Notamacropus eugenii: one gene and its partner. The protein of the gene in region 2 interacts with the protein of the main gene of each other region in a biochemical or structural test. Links are inferred from orthologs where the notes say so. Each region holds a gene or a part of one and is shown on either strand. Other genes may lie near its edges. The genes, in order: CCK and CCKBR.

The links.
Region 1: the proteins of CCKBR (region 2) and CCK form a complex in vitro, tested with the Homo sapiens proteins (3 studies listed by BioGRID). The link is inferred for Notamacropus eugenii from reciprocal best matches to the Homo sapiens genes CCKBR and CCK.

Annotation. Positions count from the first base shown.
Region 1 is NC_092874.1:45,375,866-45,388,373, reverse strand, and holds the start of CCK (cholecystokinin), read left to right. Parts: upstream 1-7,349; 5' UTR 7,350-7,464; intron 7,465-9,445; 5' UTR 9,446-9,447; coding exon 9,448-9,703; intron 9,704-12,508. UniProt on the Homo sapiens protein: This peptide hormone induces gall bladder contraction and the release of pancreatic enzymes in the gut. Its function in the brain is not clear.
Region 2 is NC_092876.1:89,302,264-89,314,502, forward strand, and holds the start of CCKBR (gastrin/cholecystokinin type B receptor), read right to left. Parts: upstream 5,577-12,239; 5' UTR 4,439-5,576; coding exon 4,291-4,438; intron 1-4,290. UniProt on the Homo sapiens protein: Receptor for gastrin and cholecystokinin. The CCK-B receptors occur throughout the central nervous system where they modulate anxiety, analgesia, arousal, and neuroleptic activity.

The DNA of each region.
Region 1 (12,508 bases), on a different chromosome or scaffold from region 2:
GAATGAGAAGTAATTAGTTTATAACTGTAACAGGGAAGATAAATTATAATGCAATCAATTTTTAATTATTCATATGGTAATTTAGTCAGAAAAATCTTGCTGCCAGATTCTATTGGCATAATTAAGTAGACTAATATAAAAAGTCATGAGTTTCCACAGTTTAATATCTCTCATTTATTTGTACTTTGTCATACTCCCCCAACCCCCCACCAGCAACCTTTTGGGACTTCTTTTAAGAAATGAAAATATTTAATTAGCTCCTCTAACCCAAAGGTGTGACAAACAAATACTTCTACTGAACCCAAAAGAAAAGTCTAAGATACAATGGAGTTGAGGGCAGAATACTGAGCAGAATGGAAAAAGTGGAAGCAAACCATTCTTTCCCAGGCAACCTTTCACAATATAACTTGAGTCACTGTCCCCATGACCACAGCAAAATTTGATTGCACTTTCAAGTTGAAAAGGCACAAAGTATAAACCCATATTTCTATATCTTACCATTAAAAGCCAGTAGGAAGTGATAGAAAGAAAAATTCCATTTAAAATAACCACAGACAGAATAAGATACACAGCAACTATATGAACACAATTACAAAACACTTTTCACAAAAAAAACATTTAAATAATTGAAGAAATATTAATTTCTTATAGGTAGAACAGGCCAATATAATAAAAATGAAAATATTACTAAATTTATTTATTTAGTGTCATATTGAACTGCCAAAGAACTATTTTGTAGAGCTAGAAAAATCTGAATCTAGAGGAACAAAGTGTTAAAAATACCAAAGGAATCAATGAAAAAAAAAATGAAAGAAGGCAGCCTAGCAGTGTCTGGTCTCACACTATATTACAAAGTGCTAATCATCCAAACGATCTGGTACTGGATAAGAAATAGAGAGGCTGATCAATGGAATAGATTAGGTACACAAATATGCAAAGTAAATGACCACAGTGACACAAAAGAGTGGAGTGCCAAGGGTAAGAGCTCGTTACTTGACAAAAACTGTCGGCAAAACTGGAAAACAGTATGGTACATCTCACACCATATAACGAAATAAGATCAAAATGAGTATATGATTTAGATGTAAAGGGTGAAATAATAAGAAAATTAAGAAAGCAGGGGAAAAATTAACTGTCGGATATATGGATAAAGGAAGAGTTTATTACCAAATAAGAGATAGAGAGGTTCATGGGAGGTAAAGTAGATGATTTTGATAACATTAAATTTTAAAGGGTTTGTATAAACAAAACCAATGCAGCCAAAATTAGAAGGAAAGCAGAAAACTGGGGAAAATTCTTACAGCAAGTTTCTCTGATAAGGGTCTCATTTCTCAAATATATAGGGAATTGTGCTGAAATTATAAAAATAAGATCCATTTTTCTAATTGATAAATGGTCAAAATATATAAATGGGCAATTTTCAGAAGCAGAAATCAAAACTCTCAATGGTCATGTGGAAAAAATGCTTTAAATCACTAATGATTAGAGAAACACTAATTAAAACAACTCTGAGGTACCACCTCATACCTATCAGATTGCCTAACATGATAGAAAAGGAAAATGACAAATGCTGGGGTGGGAGGTGGGCATGTGAAAAATTGAAAAATTATGGACTGATCTAACCATTCTGGAGAACAATTTGGAACTTTGCCCAAAGGGTTATAAAACTGTATGTACCCCCTTGACCCAGCAATCCCACTACTAGGTCTGTATCCCAAAGAGATCAAATAAAAAGGAAAATGACCTATGTGTACAAAATATTTATAGCAGCTCATTTTGTGATGAAAGAGGATTGCAAACGGAGAAAATGCCCATCAATTGGGGAATGGCTAAACAAGTTATGGTATATGAATATGATGGAATTCTATTGTACTATAAGAAATAATGAATGGGATGATTTCAGAAAAACCTGAGAAGACTTATATGACCTGATGCAAAGTGAAGTGAGCAGAGCTAGGAAAACAAGGAACACAGTAACAGCAACATTGTAATGACTATCAACAGTGAAAGCCTTTGCTTCTCTGATCAATATAATGATCCAGGATGATTCCAAAGGACTCATGATGAAAAAGGCTATCCACTTTCAAAGAGAGAACTGATGGACTCTCAGTGCAAGTTGAAGTTTTTATTTTATTTTTCTTGCTTTTTTCACAACATGGCAAATATAGAAATATATTTTGCATGACTTCATATGTATAGTAGTTATCATATTTCTCACCTTCTCAATGGGTGGGGAAAGTAGCAGGAAGGAGAAAATTTGGATCTCAAAACAAAAATAATTTTTTTAATGGCCTCAAGTGACTAGAACATGAATTCATTGGAGACTCAGACTTTGCTAATCCAGCAAGGGAAATTTGCAGAGGTTTATGGGTAGAAAGAGCCCTACACTTGGAGACAAATGACATGGCAGCTCTATTCACTAGCTACAAGACCTTAGGCAAGTCATTTCACTTTATGAGGCCCAAATTTCCCCATCTGTAAAACTGAGGAGGTTGGCTAAGATGGTATCCAATGTACCTTCTACTCATAAAATTGGTGGGTTTAATAATTTAATTCCTTCTAACTCAGCTAATGGTAGGCACTGGCTGAAGATCAGTTATTGAACTTGCTAAGAGTTCCAGTAATTCCTCCTATGATTCTGGAATGGAAAAGGGAATGGAAAGCAACTCTTGTCAGCTTTCTCCTTTTTTTATTTCTCCATAAACATGACAATCATTTCATGTTGTTCCTGGGTCACAGGATAGTGGATATCTATCTGCTGATTTTATGATGAACAAAAAGGGGGACTTTTTCTGAAATATTTGCTTTGAGAGACCCAGAATACAAAATCCTAGTCCAGTCCTCTCCTTTTGCAAAGGTAAACACTCAGGGTCAGAGAGATGAAAGGATTTGTTAGTCAGTGACATCTTTGAAGTTTCCCCTTTGGAGATGAGGTAATGTCAACCTTAGTGTCCACGAAGTAACTAGATTCCCTGTTTAAACAGGTTTCTTTTTTCCTAGAAATTTTTTTCTTTTTTTTCTTTTTCTTTCTTTCTTTTTTTTTGAACAGGACCTATGATTTTATTGCAATGAGAAAACTCCCTCTACCGTTGCAGATTGGCACCTGAGTTTCTGAGAGTTGCCTGAGGCAGGTTGAGAAGTTAAGGGTCCCACAGCTCATAGTCACAGCTAGGGTGCCTCAGAAGCTAGACTTGAACCCAGGGCTTCCTGGCTTTGGAGGCCAGAACTCTATCCATTACAGTAGTTTACCTCTCTAGAATTAGCTCAGAAATTTTTTACCACAGTTAACAAACAAAAAAATGCACCTAGTTACTCCAACCAATCTACATGAACCATAACAACCTTATGGATAAGTCACTTAAAATCATTTAATCAACTCCTCTTCACATCTCCTACAATAAAAAGTACTGTGTAAATGCTTGACTTTAAAAATGCAAGGAAGATGAGAGCTATGCAGTCTTCACCTGGGTCTCCCTCGGGGAAGGACAAAGTAAATGTATAAGGCTCCCACGTCCAAATGTCTCAGTGTCAGAGATCTCTCACACCTTCCTGGGCCGGGAGAGGCAGACTGGATTGCGGGAGAGGACCGACTACAGGAAAGGAAAGGAGGGAAAAGGAAAGCAAAGCAAAGCCAGAAGGAAAGAAATGAAGAGGGAAGGAAGAGAAGAGAAGAGAAGAGGAGAGGAGAGGAGAGGAGAGGAGAGGAGAGGAGAGGAGAGGAGAGGAGAGGAGAGGAGAGGAGAGGAGAGGAGAGGAGAGGAGAGAAAGAGAGAAGAGAAGAGAAGAGAAGAGAAGAGAAGAGAAGAGAAGAGAAGAGAAGAGAAGAGAAGAGAAGAGAAGAGAAGAGAAGAGAAGAGAAGAGAAGAGAAGAGAAGAGAAGAGAAGAGAAGAGAAATCAGAACTACTGAAGGACCTTCTCAGCCGAGATTTGCTGTCCCTGGTGAATTGCGGAGGAGAGGGAAGTAAAGCGAACTAAGCTGCTTAGCTTGGGAAAGAAGAGGGGCGCGCGAGAGCCTCGCCACGGAGCAGGGCGCATCGAAGGAGAAGGGTCCCTGGCACCGGGCGCACAGGAGCGGAGCGACGGAGCATGGAGCCGGGAGCACGAAGGAGAGGGGAGCGGGGAGCAGCCCAGCACCGCGCAGGGGAGCGCAGAGGGCATTCTGCGAGCCGACGCCAGAGGACAGCACGGCAGGTTGGCGGAGCTAGGCAGAGGACAGCCGCCTCACCGCGGCCGCCTCCCCGGCATGTCACTTTCCCCTCTCAACTATTGGACCAGAATGCTCCCCTGGACGTCCCCACCAACTCCTGGCCCGCCTCCGAGCGGGACAAACCGAGCGAGAGATGTTCTCGTTGATTCAGGACCCCAGGTTCTCACCCTGGGTTCAGGAGAGGGAATGAAGGTTCGAGGAGCTGCTGTTACCCCTGGTCTGCCGATCCCACATCTTTCCATTGGCCCACTTTCTCTACCAGCTGTGGCCAGCTGTACCACTGTTTTATCAGGGGTCCGTGGCTTCAGCTTTGGGGTAAGGGATGAAGAATGGTGAAAGTGGGGAGCTAGGGTCATTTTTTTTCCCCTCAAGCCCCAGGGATTCAGGGCAGGAAGCACAGACTTCTACTTCTGGGAATATGCCATAGACCGGGAAAAGAGGGAGGGGAAGGGGAGGCGGAAGGATCTTCAAGTAGGTTAGGAATTTCAAGTGCCCAATATCCTAGGATTTAGAGCTGCGGAGGACCTTAGAGAGGGCGTGTCCCCAGGGAACGGGGTCGGGAAGGTCTAGATTCAACAAATGGAGTTAAAAGTGCAGATGGCCCAAGGCAAAGGATTGTAAGGAATCTTGCTTCAGAATTGAAAGGAACCTCAGAGATCACGTAGGCGGGCTGGTCTTTTTACAAATGTAGAAGCTGAGGCCCAGGGAAGAGAAATAACGGCTTAGCTAAGGTCACACAGGGAGTTAGTAGCGAGTAGCTGTCCGAATTAGCTCCCACTTCTTTGGCACAAATTTCAGTATGCTTTCCACTGCAGGAGGATAGTAAGAAGCTTTCAAAAGGTCAAAGGCCAGATTGAAATTGATGTGAATGCCTCACCTCGGAACCACCCTGCCTACCCTGATCTGTGACTCCCCTCGTCCTAGATGAAAAATTGCCCTTCTGAGTTGTAACATACCCAGGGACAATCGGGTTCGAAGAATAAGAGCCCCTGCCAAGTTCAAATGAGTGGTTGGGAGACCGGCTAAGTTTAGAAATAGGAGTGTGTTGTGCAAAACTGGAAATAGGTCCTGAGGAGAGGAGAGAGTTAGACCAAAGTCATCCTCGAGTCTGTCCTTCCTCCCCGACCCCACCCCCACCTCCACTGCCCAGATACACATAGTAACTAATAAGTGGGTACAACCTCTCAAGGAGCGGAATCTCTACTCTGATCTTAGCTATTACACCTGGTACTTTGTATATGGGAAGGGAGGCTGAGACAGCCCATACCTGCTTCTGAAAGTTTGCTTCCTGTACCTAATTCAAGAAATCATACCTCCGGCCTAGTACAAGACTTTATTGACAGCCGCCTCGGTCAGATCTTCCTCTGAAATATTTAATTCACTCTATGGAGATACATTCCAGGCTCAGCCCTTCCTCCGACAGCCCTTTCAATGCAGTGGTAAAGAAGTCCATTATGACTCAGGAATGTCTTATGTTGGGAAGTGAAAGCAATCTGACAAGGGAGAAGAGATCTCCATAGCCTAGGCAAACTAAGGGTTGCTAAGCTGACTGGGTAGATACATATAGGAGAAAAGTTAGTTCCTGAATATCCTATACACAGGACTCAAGAGCAGCCCAAGATGGAGGCTAGAAGTTGGCCAAGGGTACCATGCTTGGGATAATTGAAGTACAGATTTAGAGCTAGATAGGACATTATCATCCGTAGAGTCACCTCTCCCTGCTTTTGCAAATGAGGAAACTGAGGCCCAGAGAAATTAAGCAATTAAAAAATTAAGTCCAGTCACATGGGTAGTATCAAAGTGAATAGGAGTTCACTGCTTCTAAATCAGTACTCCTAGGATGATTCCTCTGAGTTACCTGAATGAATTGGAAATAATATATATTTATTGTCCTTATTATGGGGTCATAAGTTTAGAGTTGGAATGGGCCTCAGAAGACTTAATCTAACTTCATCATCTTTCCATTGAGGAAACTGTGGTATAGAAAGGGTTAAATGACTTGCCAACACAAGTTTTTGTTTTTCAGTCTTTTTTTCAGTCATGTCCCACTCTTCATGATCCCATTTGGGGTTTTCTTGGCGAAGATACTGGAGGGGTTTCCATTTTCTTCTCCAGTTCATTTTACATATGAGGAAACTGAGGTAAACAAGTATTTTAAGACTCAAGTCTAGAACTCTTTACACACACAGTAGGCACTTAAAAATGATACAAATTAGCAAGCAGAAGATAGGAATTTTATCTAGGTGCCTATCAGTTCTTTCTTTCCAGGAGAATGTCACTTCTTTGACTAGAGGGACTGGTTGGGTTTTGTCTGTGGATCTCCAATACCTCACAGGTGGAGTAAGTGGCACATAATAAGCACACATTTAACACACGAAAGAATGAATGAAAACCCGCCTACACAGGCTAAGTGAGCATAAGGCTCTAAATTCCTTGCTACCATAAAGTTGGTGACTTGGAGACTGACAAAAACAGCCCTTTGTCTCCTTAACCCTAAGTTTATTTCTCTGAGGGAAGAAAAACAGATCTCATTGGTCCCATTTTACAAGTGATGAAAATGAAAGACAGAATAGATAGATAGTTGTGTGCAGAACACTTTTTAGTGATACTGGTAAGCATGAAGGTTCCTTATCCTGCAAAATATTGCTTCAATTCTCCTAGACAACTACTAGATGACTGGGTATCAAAGTGGGTAGAGCACTAGCATTGGACTCAGGAAGACCTGAGTTCTAGTCTCAACTCAAACACTAACCTTAGTTCGCTCATCTGTAAAATGGAGGTGATACTAGCACCCACCTCCCAGGGTTATTCTGAGTTAGGCAGCTAATATAGGTACAAAAGACAGAGAATAAATTCTGGCAAGAGAGGAGTTAACCAGTTCTTAAATGGTGTGTGTGTGTGTGTGTGTGTGTGTGTGTGTATGTGTGTGTGTGTATGTGTGTGTGTGTAGTTATATATATATATACATATACACACACACACACATACACACACACACACACACACACACACACACACATATATAGTGACCATTTTCCTCTGGGAGTTAAATTAATTTGTTCTGACCCTTTAGCATCTATCTGAGCACATGTTGATCCCCTATCTGCGTCAGCACTGTGTCAATAGATGACTCTACTACAGGCAGCAGGCTGGACTATTTAAGAGACAGCTTTTCCAAACCACCATAAGTTGTCTAACCTGGACACTCAACACATCTCTCTGGCTCGAAATAGGAAGTTGCTATCATATTTTTAAGGTAGGAAATTCGGAATTAACTCATTTTTATGAGAGGGATGAAATTGTCATTTACTGCCACAGGAATGCCTATTATCATGTATTTCTGGTGATCTATTTTCCATGTCTCTCATGGTTTTAAATTATTACTTATAACTGCATTTTTAACTATTCCTTCTTCAGACTTAGTCAAAATGAGAAACTATGACATTATTTTAAATAGCATTTTTAATGACAATGGTTAGTAAGTTGTAAGTGGAGTCAAATTGATTTGTATTTTTGAGGAAAAAAAGTTTAGTCTTCAAGGTATTAGCATCCTGTTCCCTCACAGATATAATCAAATACTGTAAAAGCTGTCCTTTAAAATGGGACTGAAATCATTTGAAGAAGTATAATGCAGGGTTGGGAAGGCTTTTAAAGTCTTGCCAAATAAAAATGCTGGAAGATTTTAAGGTTCAAAGTAGCTATGGAAATACCATTAAGCACTCCAGTGCTAGGAAAGTGAAAATTGCGTTTGCCCAGGAAACTAGTGTAGACCATTAATGTCTTCTCAAACGTGTTCTGATCTCTAGTGAGACCTCTAAGTCTTTCATATTTCTAATGAAGATGCATTTATTATGGTTAAGATTCAATGCTAAACCTTGTGTATTGCTTGTAAAAAAAAAAAACTGCTGTAAATGGGATTTTTTGTGGTTCTTGACTGCTTTTTAAAATGGATATTTCTTCCCAATTTAATCCAACACAATGGTTACTTAACTAAGGGGGAAATAAGTTCTCTGTTTGAGTCTGATTCAATGAATAGAATCTTCTTTTTAAAATGAATTCTCCTCCCTTTCATCAAAGGTTCTGCTGTCCTGTCTTTGCCTCTCCCCTACTATGAATCTTGTCCAGTATATCCAAGCTAATTAATGATGTTCCATTCAAACTAAAGGTTTCCTCCTAAAGATAGAAAAAAATAGAAGTTTTTCTCGGGGGGAGGAGAGGTGTTGGGGGGTGGATACTGCCTACTTTTTCATAAAGTGTACTTTGTCAGAAAGTAAGGACATATAGATGAAAAAACACTGGACTTCTAAGCTGAGAAACCATAGGCTTATAAAATCACAGATCTAACTGAAGTTCTAACTGAAATGGAGTTCAGGTTATCTAATTTAATCTCATTTTATAGAGGAGGAACTGAGACCCAAGAAGTCACGTGACTTGCCCCCAGGTCAGAAAGGTAACTCAGCAGTCCAGCTAGAATCTAAACTCAGGTCCTCTGCTTCCAAAGCTTTTGTCCTAGCTTCAACCAGTTCCTAACTGTACAACATTTGGTAAAAAAGAAAACAAAAAAACTGAACCTTTCTGGATCTCCGTTGTCTTCATCTGGGAAATGGGAAATTTGGTCTAGATTGGGATTTCTTAATCTGAGGTTCAAAGATATCAAAGGGTCCATGAACTTGGATGAGGGGGGAAAATCACATCATTATTTTCACTAACCTCTAACTGAAGTTTAGTGTTTCCTTCAATTATGAATTTTTTTTAAATCCTTATTATTTTGAGAAGGAACCCATAGGTTTCACTAGAGTGACAAAGGGATCCATGACACACCCAAAAAGCTTACAGATGCGTGCTAGGTACTTTAATCTGCCTCCTTGCATTCCCTCAAGACATATATTTCACTGGGGAAAGAATGAACAAAGCTAAAAAGGCTGGATGATCTGATTTATCTCTGAGATTCCTTCCACTTGGAAAATTCTACAATTCCAGTAAAGGCTCAGTAGACTCAATTAAAACAATAAAAAGACACTTTTATAGGCAAAGGGTCTGTCTCATAGCATCACCTGAAAATGTCCTTTGTATGCTATTTGTACTTTGTCACAAGCTCCTCTAGAGTGTAACCAGGCACCACCTTATCTCTTACCTGGGGTAGCCTCCTGCCAGTCTTCCTCTGTTTTCCACTGCTCCTTCAGCATAGCAGTCTTCTTTCCCCTAACTGCCTCTGAATTCCTTCCCTCCTCCTGCAGCTATGTACAGTAGCCTCAGCATCTGCGTGCTCCTCGCTGTCCTGTCAGCAAGCTCCTTGGGACAACAGCCAAAAGAGTCCAGCCATGCCAACCCAGGGACTTCCGAGCTGGAGCAGAGCCTGGCTGCCCAGCACCGGCATGTCCGTGCTCCTGCCTCCCCCAGTCAACTGAAGCCTCTACAGAGAGCTGATGGAAATGCGGACTCCAGGAGCAACTTCGGGGCTTTGTTGGCCAGGTACATCCAACAAGCCAGGAAAGGTAACAGAATCCCTCACCCTCTTCTCCCTCATCTCTTGCAAATATTTCTACAAGGCTTTTTTGCAATGTTCAGTAGAAAAACTCAGAAGTAAATATATTTATAGGAATAAGTTCCTTTTTTTTCTTTTCCTCAACACATATTTTGCAAGCAACAAAACCTGTAGCCATTTTTAGCATTCTAAGTGCTGAAATAATAATAATTAATGCTAGTGGCAGGTGATGTTTATGTAGCGTTCCTTAAGTTAAAGCTGGAAGACATTGTGGAGGTTTGCAAGGTAAACCTAATTAGTTAAGTCCTATTTCTCATTCCCATATTACAGATGAAGAAATTGAGGCTTGGAGTGCTACAAAGATTTTGTTATTATTTGGCACTGATTCTTAACCTGGGGTCCATGGACATCTTGGGGGTTTGTGGATAGCTTTCAAGGAGTCTGTGAACCTGGATGAGAGAAAAAAACTGCACCTATATCTTCATTAGCCTATGCTTTCCTCTTTATTTTATGTGTTTAAAAATATTATTTACTTCACAGGCTGCCAAAGCCATCTATGATACAAAAAAAAAAAAAAGATTAAGAAAACCCCTATTCTATTCTCAATGGGCAGAGAATGGGAGGAAGGGAGGGAAAGAACTTGGAACTCAGATTTTTTTAAAGAATGTTTAAAAAATGCATGAATAAATAAAAGGGGGAAACGAAATCTAAAATAAATATTTTTTTTAAAAAAACCCTATTGTATATGATGCTCAGTGACTAACTAGAGGGCCAGGCTATGAAAAGAAGAGTCACCAGTAATTCAGTTCCCCATACTGACATTATTTATTTGTTGAGGCTTCAGTTCTTTCTCTGAAGATGTTCATATTTCCTCAATGAATATTTTCACACCAAAACTGAATTAATTCCTTCAGATAATTAAAATAGGATAGTCATAAAAAACTTCTAACCCCTATTTTTTTTAACCAAATATATAGGATCAGTGTGGTACAGTGGGAAGGACATTAGAGCTGGAGTTCCTAGTCTGAATACTGAGCTTACCTTTTAATCCCCATGTAAGAAGCCACTTTGTTTCTCCTCAACCTCTGATTCCTTATCTGTAAAAAGAGGAAATTAATCTAGATGGCTTCCAAGGTACCTTCCAGCCCTAAAACTATGATCATACAATCCCTATGCATTTTGACTTTAAAATCGTGGAGGAACACCCAACGTGAATTTTAATAGACTTACAAGATTTGACAGAAATAGTGGCCCTTAGAATATTAAATTTTGCTGTGTCAGATTTCACCAAAGCAAGAATTAGAAGGAGTGAATGCTTCATGTTAAATGAATGCTTCTCTGCCAAGCTGAGAGGGATCATCCGTGGGTGAGAAGGACATTTGGGTTTAAAACCTTTAAAGACTATCACCATTGTGAAAGGATCTGATGATTTATTTCTTACTGTTTGAATAGAGATTGTTCACCAATTCCCTAAGAGATGAATGAACCATCATTTCTCCAGCATCTGACATTATTCCCTGGGAATAAATTAGGTTCTCAGAAAGCATCATGGACTGGGTTCCAGGAATCCTGGACTTCAATGCCATCTCTGTCCTCACACAGCTCAATGTGGAAAGAACAGAGATTCTAGAGGTTCTACCACTCAAGTCAGTCTCCCAACTTTTATGGTTCTTAAGTCAATAAGCAATTATTAAGATGATATTACATTTTAAAAACTGAGCCAATGTGCAGTCCACAGGGATCCTTATGTAATGGCTTCCATTGCTATTTGGGTTTGATGCCACTGTTAGGGAATTCCTGAATGAGGAGGCTTCCTCTACCAAGGCACATTGGCACCATTGAGTTAGAGTTGAGCAGACCACTGAAAGGTTAAGTGACTTGCCCAGGATCACACAACCAATATGTACCAGAAGCAAGACTTGAACCCATGTTTCCCTTATTTCTAGGGAGGTTTTCCATCCACTTCGCCAGTGCTGCCTCAGGCCAATAGTTTTAGTAATTGCTTCAAGTGGAACTACTTACATGTGACTTTCCTTTCATCCATATATACCTTCCATGTCATGAACTAAGTTTGAGATTGTATTCATAGGATCATGGCATATAAAGTCAAAAATGACCATAAGTTATCTAAGTTCAACCCTCTCAGCTAGCAGGTGAGGAAATTAAGGCAGAGAAATGAAGTGATTAACTCAGGATCTCATAGGTAGGAAAAAGAAAAGCAATGATTCAATCCTCTTCACTGGAACAAATGGGGAAGATGTGACTAAATCACACTTCTCTTGATAAGGATCTGGAGGTCTTAGTGGACCACAGGTTCAATACAAGTCATGGCAGTAAAAGAAAAAAAAATAGATAATGCAGTCTTGGGCAACATTCAGAAGGGCATAAAAAGAAGGAGATAGTCTACTTGCTGAATTCTGCCCTGATCAGGCCATATCTGGTGTATCCTGTTCCATTTGGGGCGCAGTATTTTAGGAAAGACTTTTGATAACCTCAGAAACATCCAGACAAGGGGAATACAGATGGTAAAAAAAAAAAAAAAAAAAAAAAAAGTCCTTGAGATCTTGCTACAAAAAATTAATTGGAGGATCTGGGAATCTTTAGCCTGGAGAAGGGAAGACTTAGGAAATATGTGATATAATTAAAGTATTTTTTTAAGTATTAAGTATTTAAATATTTAAGTATTTTTAAGTATTTAGCTATTTTAAGTATTGAAGTATTAGAAAGGGCTGTCCTGTGAAAGAGCTGTAAGACATACTTTTCTTGGCCCCAGAGGGTGGTACTGAGTCATTGGCAAAGTATGTAAATGGGCAAA
Region 2 (12,239 bases):
ATTAGAGTCCATGCCATTAAACAATTAGTTGAAAGAACTGGGGATGTTTAGCTTGGAGCAGAGAAAGCTCAGGGGAGACATGATAGTTAAGTGCTTGAAGGGCTGTCACTTGGAAGAGAAATTAGACTCATTATTCTTAGCTTCAGAGATTAACATTATGATCAGTGGGTGGAAATTGCTGAGAAGCAAATTTCAGTTTGATATAAGGAAAAATTTTCTAACCATTAGTGCTTTTCAAAAGTAGAATGGGATGCTTGGGAGGTAATGAATTTCCTTTCAATGGAGATCTTCAAGTGGAAAGGTTGGCTTTCTACTCATTAAGGAAGTCATAGAAGGATTTCCCATTCATGTGCAGGTTGGACTAGATGCCTTGGGAAATCTCTTTCAACTCCAAGATTCTGTGAGATAAGAAGAGCAAGTATTATATGAAGACACATCCACATATGACAGATGAGGAAACTAAGATTCACAAGAGTAAAGTCTTTTGCCCATAGTCACACAACCAGTAAGTACTTGGACTGACAGCATCTATAGATCATAGATGAAGAGCTAGAAAAGATCTCAAAGGTTATCTAGTCCAACTGTCTCATTTCACAAATAAGGAAACTGAGGCCCAGCAAGGTTAATTGGTTTGCAGTTGTATGGATACTGAGCATTAGCTGCAGTATTTGAATCTAGGCCCTGGCATTCCAGTGCTTCAGCTCTTTCCTGCTAAGCTGCCCTCCCACAGATCCAGTCACAACTTCAGCTTCAAGTCTAAAGCTTCTTCTATTACACCTCAGTGTAAAAACACTTACTGTGGGAGACAGTTTTCTTCTTTTTCTCATCAATCAATCCATTAATAAGAATATTTCAAGTGTCTATGATAGCACAGGTTCTGTGATAAATCCTGGCAGTACACACAGGAAGTGAAGCAATTCCTGCCTAAAAGGCCTTTATTTTCTACTGTCATCTGTCCTAGCCATTTTTAAAAATAGTGGTAATCATATTTGACCTATTTATATACTTCTTATGATGAAAGTGCTTTGTAAATCTTTAAAACTATGGAAATGTGATTGATTTTTGTAATGAAATATTCCAAGCCCCAAGTGTCCAATTTCTTTTCTTTTTTCATTTTTTTTGAAACACTGACCTCTCTTTGGAACTCACCTCATTGTACAAATGAAGAAATGAAGGCCTGAAAGATACAATGACTTGCTCAAGGTCACAGAGCAAGTTAATGACAGTGCAGCAGTAAAAGGGCTTTAAACTCTTCCTCCAAGGCTTACTTCCTATGTGACCTTGTGCAAATCATTTGCCCTTGCTAGGCCTATCCACAAAAAGGGGGCTGGGAGTTAACTAGGTGGCTTTTGAGTTCCCTCCCAGATTTGGATCTGTGATGCTAAGATCTTTGCAGCAAAGGAAGCAGCTGCAATGTCAGTGCAGTGCTCTCTAGCAGCCATAGGGGTGGATATGGGGACCACGTTGGAAAGAACTTTCCTTTGGAGAGGAGAAGCAGATTAGGGAAAGTAGAAGGACAAGGAAAGAAGGAGATGGGACTGAAGGGAAGGAGCACAGGCTGATCAAAGCACCAGATACAACTGGTGAACTTTGGGACTCTGGGGCAGAGCTTAGTCTGGGAAGGGAGAAGCTATATCCTTTGACCCTTCTCAGCCTCAACTGTCTTCATCCAGGATGATGGCCAAAGCCAATTTAAATACACAGGCTGAACTGAGTATGATGAGCACAGAGCAGGGGACATTCCCTTTGTTCATTATATGAGTCCAGCTACTGGGTCTTATTTCTAAGTCTGTTTGTTTTCCAGTCACCTACCTCATTCCCTCACTCTCTTGCACTAACAGCTCTCCATCTCCCAGCTTCCTCCACTCCACACCCTCACACAAATGCATACTCCTCAGTCCCTTAGAATCCCCCCTTTCCTCTCTTACACAAATGCAGTCTTCCTTTCCTCTTTGTTTCTCACACACTGTTGTACCTCAGAAGCCTTCCCATATGCTCTCATACACACATACTGTAGCTCAGTCCTCTCTCCCTTTTCTTTATATATACTTCAGTTCTCTCTCTCATACACATACACACACACATACACACACACACACAGAACCTGTCTTTTTCATGCATAAGCACACTCTGTCTTTCTGTTAGTCTGTCTCTCACACACACTCCTATGTCTCTCACATATATTCCTGTCTCTATATTATTTCATAGGTGGTCCTATCTACACTCTGGTTCCAAGAAGGAATTACTAATTTATTTCTGATATGACATAAAGACATCCTTTCATGAGGTCTTATAAGCTCTGTTTCTCTGTTCCAGAGGTATTTTTTTTCTTTTAATTGGAGGAATCCCTATATGTGGAAACTCCCTGGTTTATAATTTATAGTTGTGAGAATTGGGGCTACTAAGAGGTGAAGTGACTTACTGGCCTCCTGATCACACAGCTAGTCTTTGTCAGAAGCAGGACTTTAAACTGGGTTTTTCTGGATCCAAGGCTGACCATTAGCCCATACTAGTACTATCACTGGAAATACCTTTAAGGTTGGCAAAATGCTGTAATACAGTCTCATTTAACCTGCATGACAACCCTCTGAGGAGGGCACTCTAGACTTTTATCCCCCTCATTTTAGGTTAGTTATTGATTCAGAGCTAGAAGGGACCTTTGAGGGCATCTAGTTCAACTCCTTATCATGTAGATGAGGAAATTGAGGCCTAAAGTAGCTAAATCTCTTGACAAAGATCATATATTAGATGGTGTCAGAGGAAGGATTCAGGTCTCCTCTAAACTCCAAATCCACCATATTGTACTGGTTAGGGGACATGCCAAGGGAACAAGGGGAATTCCTCTGGGGATCTTTGACCAAAGTGATTCTTGGACCAAAAAAAATATTGAAAGCTTCTAGTATGCCTCTATCCATCTCTGTATCTTTCCTCTATCTTCATCTGTCTAAGTAACTAATATATTATTTTTATTTATATCACATGACATATGTAGCACTTTATGATTTTCAGTTGTTTTTGGTTTTTTATTTACCATTCATTCAAACATCCATTCAGTGAGAGATATAGCTGCCCTGGGAAAGTTATATGTTCTGGATAGAGAGATAAGAAAATAACAAGCAAGGACAAATTAATTGCTCAATTTCCATAAGCCCCGAAGGATTCCCAGATGAAGGGTATGAATGAAGGGGAGTCGAATTGGGAAGGCACCTTGGAAAAGGTGACTCAGGTCTTCCAGGAAATGAAGGATGGTGATTGAAGTGAAGGTGAAAGGCACCAGGGGTAGCAAAGAGGCCAGGAGCCTGTGGAAGGTAGAAGGGGGTTCTGAAGGGGAGGGGCAGAGAGGCCAAGAACACAAGGAGGATCAGCTGGTGGCAAAAACTATACAGAGGTGGATGAAGGGGTGTGGCAGGGATGCCACAAGGTTGTGTGGGGAGATGGAGAGAATGGTAGTGACATGGGAGGCCAAGAAGCCAGGGGAGATGAGGAAGAAGGGATTTTGAATGAGATATTTGAGGGAACTAAGCTCAGAGTAACAGGAGTGTATGTGAGAGGAATGAGCAGTCTTGGAATGGGGATGGGGTGAGCGACAGACATGCTTTTGTAGAGACAGGCTGCTGGGGGAAGGGAAAGAACAGGACATGGGACAGGGAGTGGGGTCAGTTTCCAGCAAGAGAAATGTTTTGAGGAAAACCCTGGGGAGAAAGGTCCCAGTTTCCAGGGGGAGGGGGTCCGAAAGATTTGGAGTTCAGTGAACAGGGGTATCCACTCCTCTCAGCCTCTAGTGCCTCCTCAGCTCTGGCAGCTTCTTAGCTTCAACAACAGATTTAGTGTGTGTGTGTGTGTGTGTGTGTGTGTGTGTGTGTGTGTGTGTGTGTGTGTGTGTGTGTGTGTGTGTGTGTGTGTGTGTGTGTGTGCGCGCTCCATTTGGACCCTACACGCAGAAAGCTTCTAAGTCTTTGCAGATCACGAATTCTCCTTACGGGGTTAGCCCCCTGATCAACAGCGCAACTCCCCTTTAGGCTCACAAATACTCCTCTAGTGCTCTCTGACAGTCTTGCCATCCTACCCCTGCTCCTCCCCTCACCCCACCTCCATGATCTTGGGCTTTGCATTCTGGAGCTTGTGGTAGGGTCCCTGGGGCATCAGGGGTAAGGGACATGCAGAGAAAGCTGGAGAAAGGAGAGGTGGGAAATGGGGGTTGGGGCCCAGAGGGAAAGGGTCCTAGATGAAGGGGACACGGGAATGGGAGAGAGATGGGGCCAAGAGGCATCAAAGAAGGGGAACACTTACCTCGGGGCGTCCTGCTGGCTCCAGAGCCTCCTCGGGGAGATCCGCAGCTACTATTGGCACCGCTGTTAGCACTGCTGTTGGGGGACAGGGGCCCCGGGCCGCACTGGGACTCTGGCTCTGGCACGCTCCGATTCAGCTCCAGCTCCATGGCCCCAGGGTAGAGGCGGGCCTGGGACAAGACCCTCGGAAGACCGGGAACCTAGGGGGCCGTTTCCCACCGCTTCCACCTGCTCTCGCGTCTGTCGCTTCTGTGCCCCTGACCTGGCCGGCTCTGGTGTGTGTCCGCTCCGCCCTCTGCCTCCGGCCGGCACCTTGCGCTCCCACGCGGATTTCTCCCCCTCTCTCCTTGCGTCTCTCCGTCCCTCCCTTTGCGTGTGCCTCTCCTCCCGTCTCTCTACCCCTGGGTCTCTCCTTGACTCCCCGCAAATCTTTTCCCTTGGCTTTCTCCCAGTGTCATTCGATGCCCTGTGTCTTTCTGCCTCAGCTCCCCCAAACCCCTAAAATCTTCCTCCCCCTTTCCAGGGGACTCCCAGCCTCGTTCCCTCCGCAGCGGGATCTGCTGGTGCTGGGGCTGGGGTGGCCTGGGGAGCCCCGCCCCTCTCCTCCAGAGCTAAGCAGAGCTGGGGTCCCGCCCCCCTCTCTGCAGCGCGGCCGCTCGGCCTGGGGGTGGGCGTAGGGGGATGGAGGTGCTCTATACTGCTGCTCCAGCCCCAGTTTCTGGAGGGAGTCAGGCGCGGGGCTGAGGCTGCCACTGCTGATGGGGGACGGGGGGAGGCAAGGAAGGGTGGTAGGAGACAAGATCTGACGTTTTAATTGTACTGTACTTCAGCTATGCTACCGTATTGACCTATGGGGCACCAAAATGTAGAGTGGGACACCAATGAGTCGTGTTTCATTTGGGGGCAAGTGTGAGGTGCGGACTGGGAGCAGGGAAGGCTCACAGCCATTCACTTAGAATCCTGTGTCCCAGCACACCCCTCTTATAACTCCTGGCTGTCCCCAGTAGTACCCCTAGAGACACAATGACATCCCAAGTCCCAATAATAGCTTTGCTCCAAAGACATCTGACTCAATAACAGCCACTAATGAAATCTCAGTGACAACCTATTCAGTGACACCTCTGGACTCAGTGATACCTTGGCCCCAACGTCATAACCAGTCACACTTCTGGTCCTAGTAATATTAGAGCCACAGTAACACCCCCAATGACAGACCAGGGCGCAATGACACCAACTCAAATAGTCCTTTACAGTAACTCAAATACTCTTCATCAGCGGATAGACTTCAGGGAGCTGAGATGTAGTAAGGACTCTGACCTTAGGAAGGACTCCAATGAGTGGAAATTTCCCAGGGGCAGAGTACCAGTAAAAGAGGAGTCCCTAGCTCCCTTTGGCACCTGGTAGTGCCAGTGCTGCCACCACCACCTCTCCCCTCCCTCTGTTTGCTCTTGGGAGCAGGTGGAGATGTAGATAACCAGCCTGGGCTTCCCACGGGGAGGAGGGTAGGGCAGAGGATGGGAGGACAAAGATGAAGCCAAAGTGGGTTGGGGGTGAAGGTGATGGGTGAAGTGAGGAGAGGATGGTGACCCCCAGCATTCATCTCACCTCCTCTAGTATCACAGGACCCATCCTGGGCTTGTTCAGTCTCCTTAAAGGTAAGAATGGGTAAGCTGTCTTGAAAAAGAGGCACCAGATCCTAAGGACTGAGAAGACAGGGGATGCATTGATGAGAAAAATAGGAGGGGGTGCCAAAGGGATGGAGATGCTTGCCAGGTCCTTGGCCTCCAGCCCTATCTGTGAGGGCATCTCCCCCTCCCCAACCCTCTCCTTAGTCTCTTCATCATCTCCTTGGCTCCAGGGATACTGTGTCCTTCCTCCACCCCTCCACCCCCATCTTTCAGGGAAAAAAGCCCATTAGTGTCCCTTCCCTCATGATTGATAGCCCCCAAAGACTGAGGATTGATGGGACTGAAGGGATGGGCAGGGTAGAAGGGAAGAAGGGCAGGGATGGGAGGATGGGAGCAGTTTAAGAATTCCAATTCAGAAGGAAAGTTGTGACCCAGGTAAGTTGCAGCAGGGAAGGGCAGGAAGTGAAGAGAGCTGAGATGCAGCTGGGAGGACACCTACTCTGTGGGAAGGATGCCCACCTTACTTCCAGACTTTGTCCTAGGCTTAGTCCAGTGTCTCCTGGCACTGCTACCTCACCCAGCTCTGCTGACTCTCAGATCCTAGGGCCTGTAGCCCTATTTGCTCTAGCTAAGGAGTCCCAGGTGGAAATACTGATAACCAGCAGATATTTTCCCATTGAGAAGGGGGAAGGGTGAATGACATTGAAGGAAGACAAATTAAGGAACCTGGGAGTATGGGACAGAGTTTAAGGGCCTAGGCAGGAACAGAAATGAAGGAGACTAGGGTGGGTGTGGGGGGCGAATGAGAGATGGGGATGGGGGCATGAAGATTGAGAAGAGACAGAGAGAAAACAAGAGTTAGAGATTTAGAATTTAGGGAACAGAAATGATGGAACCCTTAAATCATAGCACAGCATGAGGTTCAATCCAATTTGGCTCACCAATTTGTTGTGAGCTCAATGCAAAATAGAATGCCCTGGGCACTAGAGGGTCAATAGCTAACACAACAATCTCTCCTCTTAAGGAGCTTGTATTTTAAGAGAGAGAGATCTACACAGATAGGTAAATATAATGTAATATGAGGAATGATAGAGTCAGGTCAAGGAATACTTCACTGAGAAAGAGGCACATAACCTGATACTTGAAAAAAAAAGATAAGTTATCTTAAAGACAGAGGGAGATGAGAGCCCATTCTGGATGTCAGGTACAGCTTGCAATAATGTACACCTAAAAACTGGGTATATGGGGTGTTTAAGGAGAATTAGCACCTCTAGTGTGAGGGCTTGCCGAGTCCTTTTCAGGGCTATTCATCCACCTTTGGTGTCCATCTGGCACTCAACTCTCACCTGTGGCTCCAAGAAGCTACAGTATGTGCAGTGGCCACACCCTAGTAAAACTGTCTCAGTAGAGACTCTAAACCAGGTTTTGAGGTTAACCAACAGGCCTCAGACCTATCGATGAGTTAGGGGGTGTCTACCTCACATATGTGAATACTTTTCTTGGTGGAATGGGCAATTTGTTTCAACGACCATGAAGGTGGCTGAAGCAGGTGCTGTGGGGAGCTTAGAGCTTGGTCAGACATGGAAGGTGCCAAGGTCATCCATTGCATCCTGGGCCATCACCAGCGGTCTTGACTTTTGTCTTGCCACTGGATTCCTTTGACTTGTAAGACAGAGTAGAGCTGACGACTTTGTATAACTCTAACTCACTTAAATCTAATTTTTGCACAAGTCAAGACATCACCTCGTGATGTCATTGATCCTCTTCAAAAATGAAGGACAAACAACAACACACATAGATGATGGAATTAAGAGTACCTACAGGCAACCTTTGCTTCTATGTGGGTTACTCCAGACAAGATACTTCAAGTTAAAGGACTCTCTCTAAATTCACACAAAAACCATAGTTATTGAGCCCCCTAATAATGTATTTACTTTTACTAGTCAGCCAGAGGAAATGTTTAGTTCAAAGCAAAGCTATTTAATGAAATAGCATAGGAAGATAAGTAGTAATAGAACATTTCCCCCATAAACCTAGAGCATACAAAAATATGTATTCAAGGTGGGAAGAGTGGACATTCCTAGGACACTTGTGTGGACAGGGCACATTTATGGAAAGGCTTCTGATGTGTCAATATTGCCAATGTCTTCTGGTGATATCATTAACCCGCTTCCATTGGATCTGCTTTCCAAAATGTCTTGTATGTCTCTCTCTGTTCAGTGGTACTCCATTGGGTATGTGGTTACTGCTAGGTACTGTTGTACTACTTCTTTCCCTTAAGAGGGAAAGTAGATTCTATCTCTTTTAGCTTATAGCCCAGATAATTAAACTTCCATTTAAGTGAGGGCATCAAGGTCTTTCATATACCTAATATAGATTAGAAAAAAAAACAAACTCTTGGATGCCTCTTCTCCAAAAGGATCCATCGAATCTTGAAGTCTGACTTGTACATAGCTTTTTTCTACACAAACATGGTCCTTCTTTCTAAAGTCCAAGCTCTTTTGGAACACAGAACAGCTAGACAGCTAAGTAACACCTACAGGTACTTGAAAATTCTGCATCTGGAGCTGAATTACAGTTCATTGGCCCAGCAAACTATTTGATTTAGGGTTAGAAATTCTTTGTAATCTCCTGCTCAACTCCTTTGGGAGATACTGTGCTTTCAAATGACATTTTTTTTCATGGGAAAACCTTGCCAAGAAATTTCACAAGAGTGAGATAGGTCTCAGGTACTATAATTTCCCCAACCATGCAAGATCCTTTAGGTTTCCCATTCAAATGAAAGGGGGAAGGAAGGGGAAATGACAAGAACAAAAACCCTAGATAGAGCAGTATTGTGAAGAGGAATTGCCCTTTGCTTCAACCTATCGTGTGTGTGTATGTGTATTCAGAAACAAACTTCTTAGTCTTTGAGCCTTCCCATAGAATATTGAATTTGAGGAACAGATAGCAATCTATTTGTGGGAAAAGATCAAGCTTTTATTAGTTGCCTATTAAGTACCAGGCACTGTGCTCAGTATTTTACAAATATCTCATTTGGCTGGAAGATAGAACTATTAAGGAGAGTAAAATTAAATATGGCCAGAAAGGAGGCAAGTAATATGAAATATAGCTGGAAAGGTAGGTTGGAACAAGATTTGGCCTCCCTGAGTCCCAACTTCTGTGGGTTAGAATCATAACATGTCCTGCTGCGGGCCCCTCATGAGATCATTGGATCATTCACGTGCCCCTACAGCTTCTCTCATTATCTTTGTGATCCCTAGGACAGATAGACTATGTCAAATGACCCTCTCAGGCTTTGACTAGAGTCATTAATACACCTAATAGGTTTGAATGCACATATGAAGCCCTGATACTGCAACCCCTAAGATAGGAAGGAGGAAATAATCAATCATTAAGTGCCTCCTATATGCCAGGCACTGTATTTAGCATTTTACAAATATCTCATTTGATCCTTCAATAACCCTGGAAGGAAGGCACTATTAATATCCTCACTTTACAATTAAGGAAATTGAAGTTAAGTGATTTGCCCAAGGTCACATAGCTAGTAAGTATTTGAGGAAGGACATGAACTCAGGCCTTTCTGACTCTAAGCCCAGTGTGCCATCTACTGCCCTACCCAATAGCCTCTTAGCCATACCCCAGATAGGAAATGGACCTATGATTTCCTTGATATAGGATACTCGAAGGGGAAGAGGAGAGGAAGAACTCCCTCTATAAATTCAGGTTGGCATTTTCTCTGCAGTTTATAGTCTTAGACTGTAGACTCTTGGCCCTCGAGAACTGAGATGTTAAATGACTTGCCTAGGATCAGGTTCTGTCAGGTCATGCCAGGTCATGTCAGAGGCAAAACTCAAACCCAGATCACCCTGACTTCAAGGATGTCTCTCTATCCACTCTGCCTGTTGCCTCTCAGACCTAAGACTACAGAGACGAAAATGGAACTAAAAGTCTTCCTGCAACAGCTAATAAGGTGATGTTAAGTTCCTCAGGGACCCTAGAGTTGATAACAAGTAGGAGGAACTGTGAACCTGAGCTCATACAGTATAAACAATGACTATGTCACCTTTCTCCCTTGGGCTCTCTCATCTGAACTAATCATAAAAGTTGATTTAAGGGTATTTTTTATAGTCCTGGGCACATTTTGTGGGGTCATAATTGGATGTTACAATTCTTCATTAGGAGCAATGAAGAGAAGAAAATTCTCAGTTAATTACTGTACCAAAATGGAATAGATCGCCTTATTCCTGGATGTGCTCAGGCAAAGGCCAGACTTAGCTGAGAGCTCCACACCCCCACTTTAGGGTCCAGAACTTTGAAATTCTAATCTCTGACTTTTCTTCCCTTCCCTCTCTTGTGCATTTATTCACACTAAACTAACACGTCACCATTTTGGTGACCTTTGTTATGTCACCTCTACTCTTCTGTTCTACTTTTTTTCCCTCTGGCTTTGCTTGCCTTCATTCCCAGCCTTGATCCCATGGTTTGTCCCTTCTACTGCTCCAGAATCTTTTAAATCCTCTGCCCTCTGATCTTTCAACTCTTTGTCTGCCTTAGTTTCCTTAGTTGCAAAATGGGGATAATAAGAGCACATATATGTATGTGTATATTTGTATATATATGTGTGTGCCTATGTATACACACACACACATACATCTTATGGGGTTGTTGTGAAGATCAAGTGAAATTATATTTGTAAAGTGCTTAGGATAGTGCTTGGCATATAGTTAATAAATGCTTGGTATATGGCGTTAATAAATACTTCTTCCCTCCCCCTTTCATCCCTTCCTTTCTTCCTCTTGACCTTTAAATCCTTATCCCTTGGTAACTCCCACCATCTGACCTCCAATCTTGTTTTAAGGCTGCTGAGCATAGTTGGAGAAAATATTGAAATCAAGATGATTTCATTATCTGTGGATAATAATCTCACATAATCTCAGCTGGGCCCTTACTTCTGTTTGAATCCTATTCAACCTTACTCTTTCTGTCATTCATCAGGGCAACATTTCTAAACATTTTTTTCTTTGGTCATCTCTATACCATACTGCCTCTATCTTGGCTACCATCCTCATTTTCCTCCTACTAGTAGTTTGAATTCTTCACCTGCCTGGGCTGCAAGCAGTGGTGTTCTGGTAAATATTTAACAACTAGTTTTCAGAAAAAAAAAATTGTATGCAGGATGTACTTTTAAATATAAACTGCATGATTAACATTTTTTTCTATCACTTTCTTAAGTCAAGTCTAGTCAATCAACAAAACAATAAATCAAGCTATGACTTGTATGTAGTGTTTGTGGATTTCCAGCTCACACTGAAAATTCAATAGGAGAGGTTGGAGCTGGCTCCAGCACATCCCTGGATGTGGGACTCTGATAGGTGAACATTTTTTTTTTTGGAGGGGGGAAGGCAAGGCAATTGGGGTCAGGTGACTTGCCCAAGGTCACACAGCTAGTGTGTCAAGTGTCTGAGGCTGGATTTGAACTAAGGTCCTCCTGACTCTAGGGCCAGTACTCTATTTACTGCATCACCTAGCTGCCCTCTTATAGGGGAACTTTTGTCACATTTTGTCAGGAGCCAGGCCCTCAAGTCAACTCCACACATCTCCGTACTATTTCAAAGCTGGTACACCTCCCCCCTCTGTCAATTCCCCTTCATGAGTTATCTTTCTCATTATACTGTAAGCTTCTTGAAGGCAGGTACTGACTGACTTGCTTGTATTTGTATCCCTAGTGCTTAGCACTGTGGGGAGCACACTTTAAGTGCTTAACAAATGCTCTATCCATCCATCTGCCTGTCCATCTAATTATGTGTCCATCTTTCTGTCATCTATTCTCTTCTCACTTCCAACCCTATCAGACTGCCCTTTCAAACCAGTGAGAGCTTCCACGAGATGACTGAAGCTGTACACCTTGCGCTTCTTTAGTCCTTTCTTCTTTGTTCTTCAGACTGTTGCTGTTTCCCTCCCAGCCTGATGTCTTTCTTTTTCTTTGCCTCATTAAAGGGGCCATGCCCTGGCTACTTCTTAAACAGGTCTATTCAATGAATTGGCATTACCTCACCCTAAGTGAGTACCTGCATAGACCTTGGCCTAAAGGGCCCAAGGTCTCCCAGTGCATCCTGGGCCATCTCCAGTCATCCTGATGAATATCTTGTCACTGGACTCAGGTGGCTCTGGAGGAGAAGTGAGGCTAGTGACCTTGCACGGCCCTCCCTCACTCAAAACAAAGTCAAGTGCAAGTCATGTCATCATTTCTCTGATGGCACAGTCTTCTTTGGCAAGGAAGGACAAACACAAGCCTAGCTATGGAAAGACCATTGCCTTA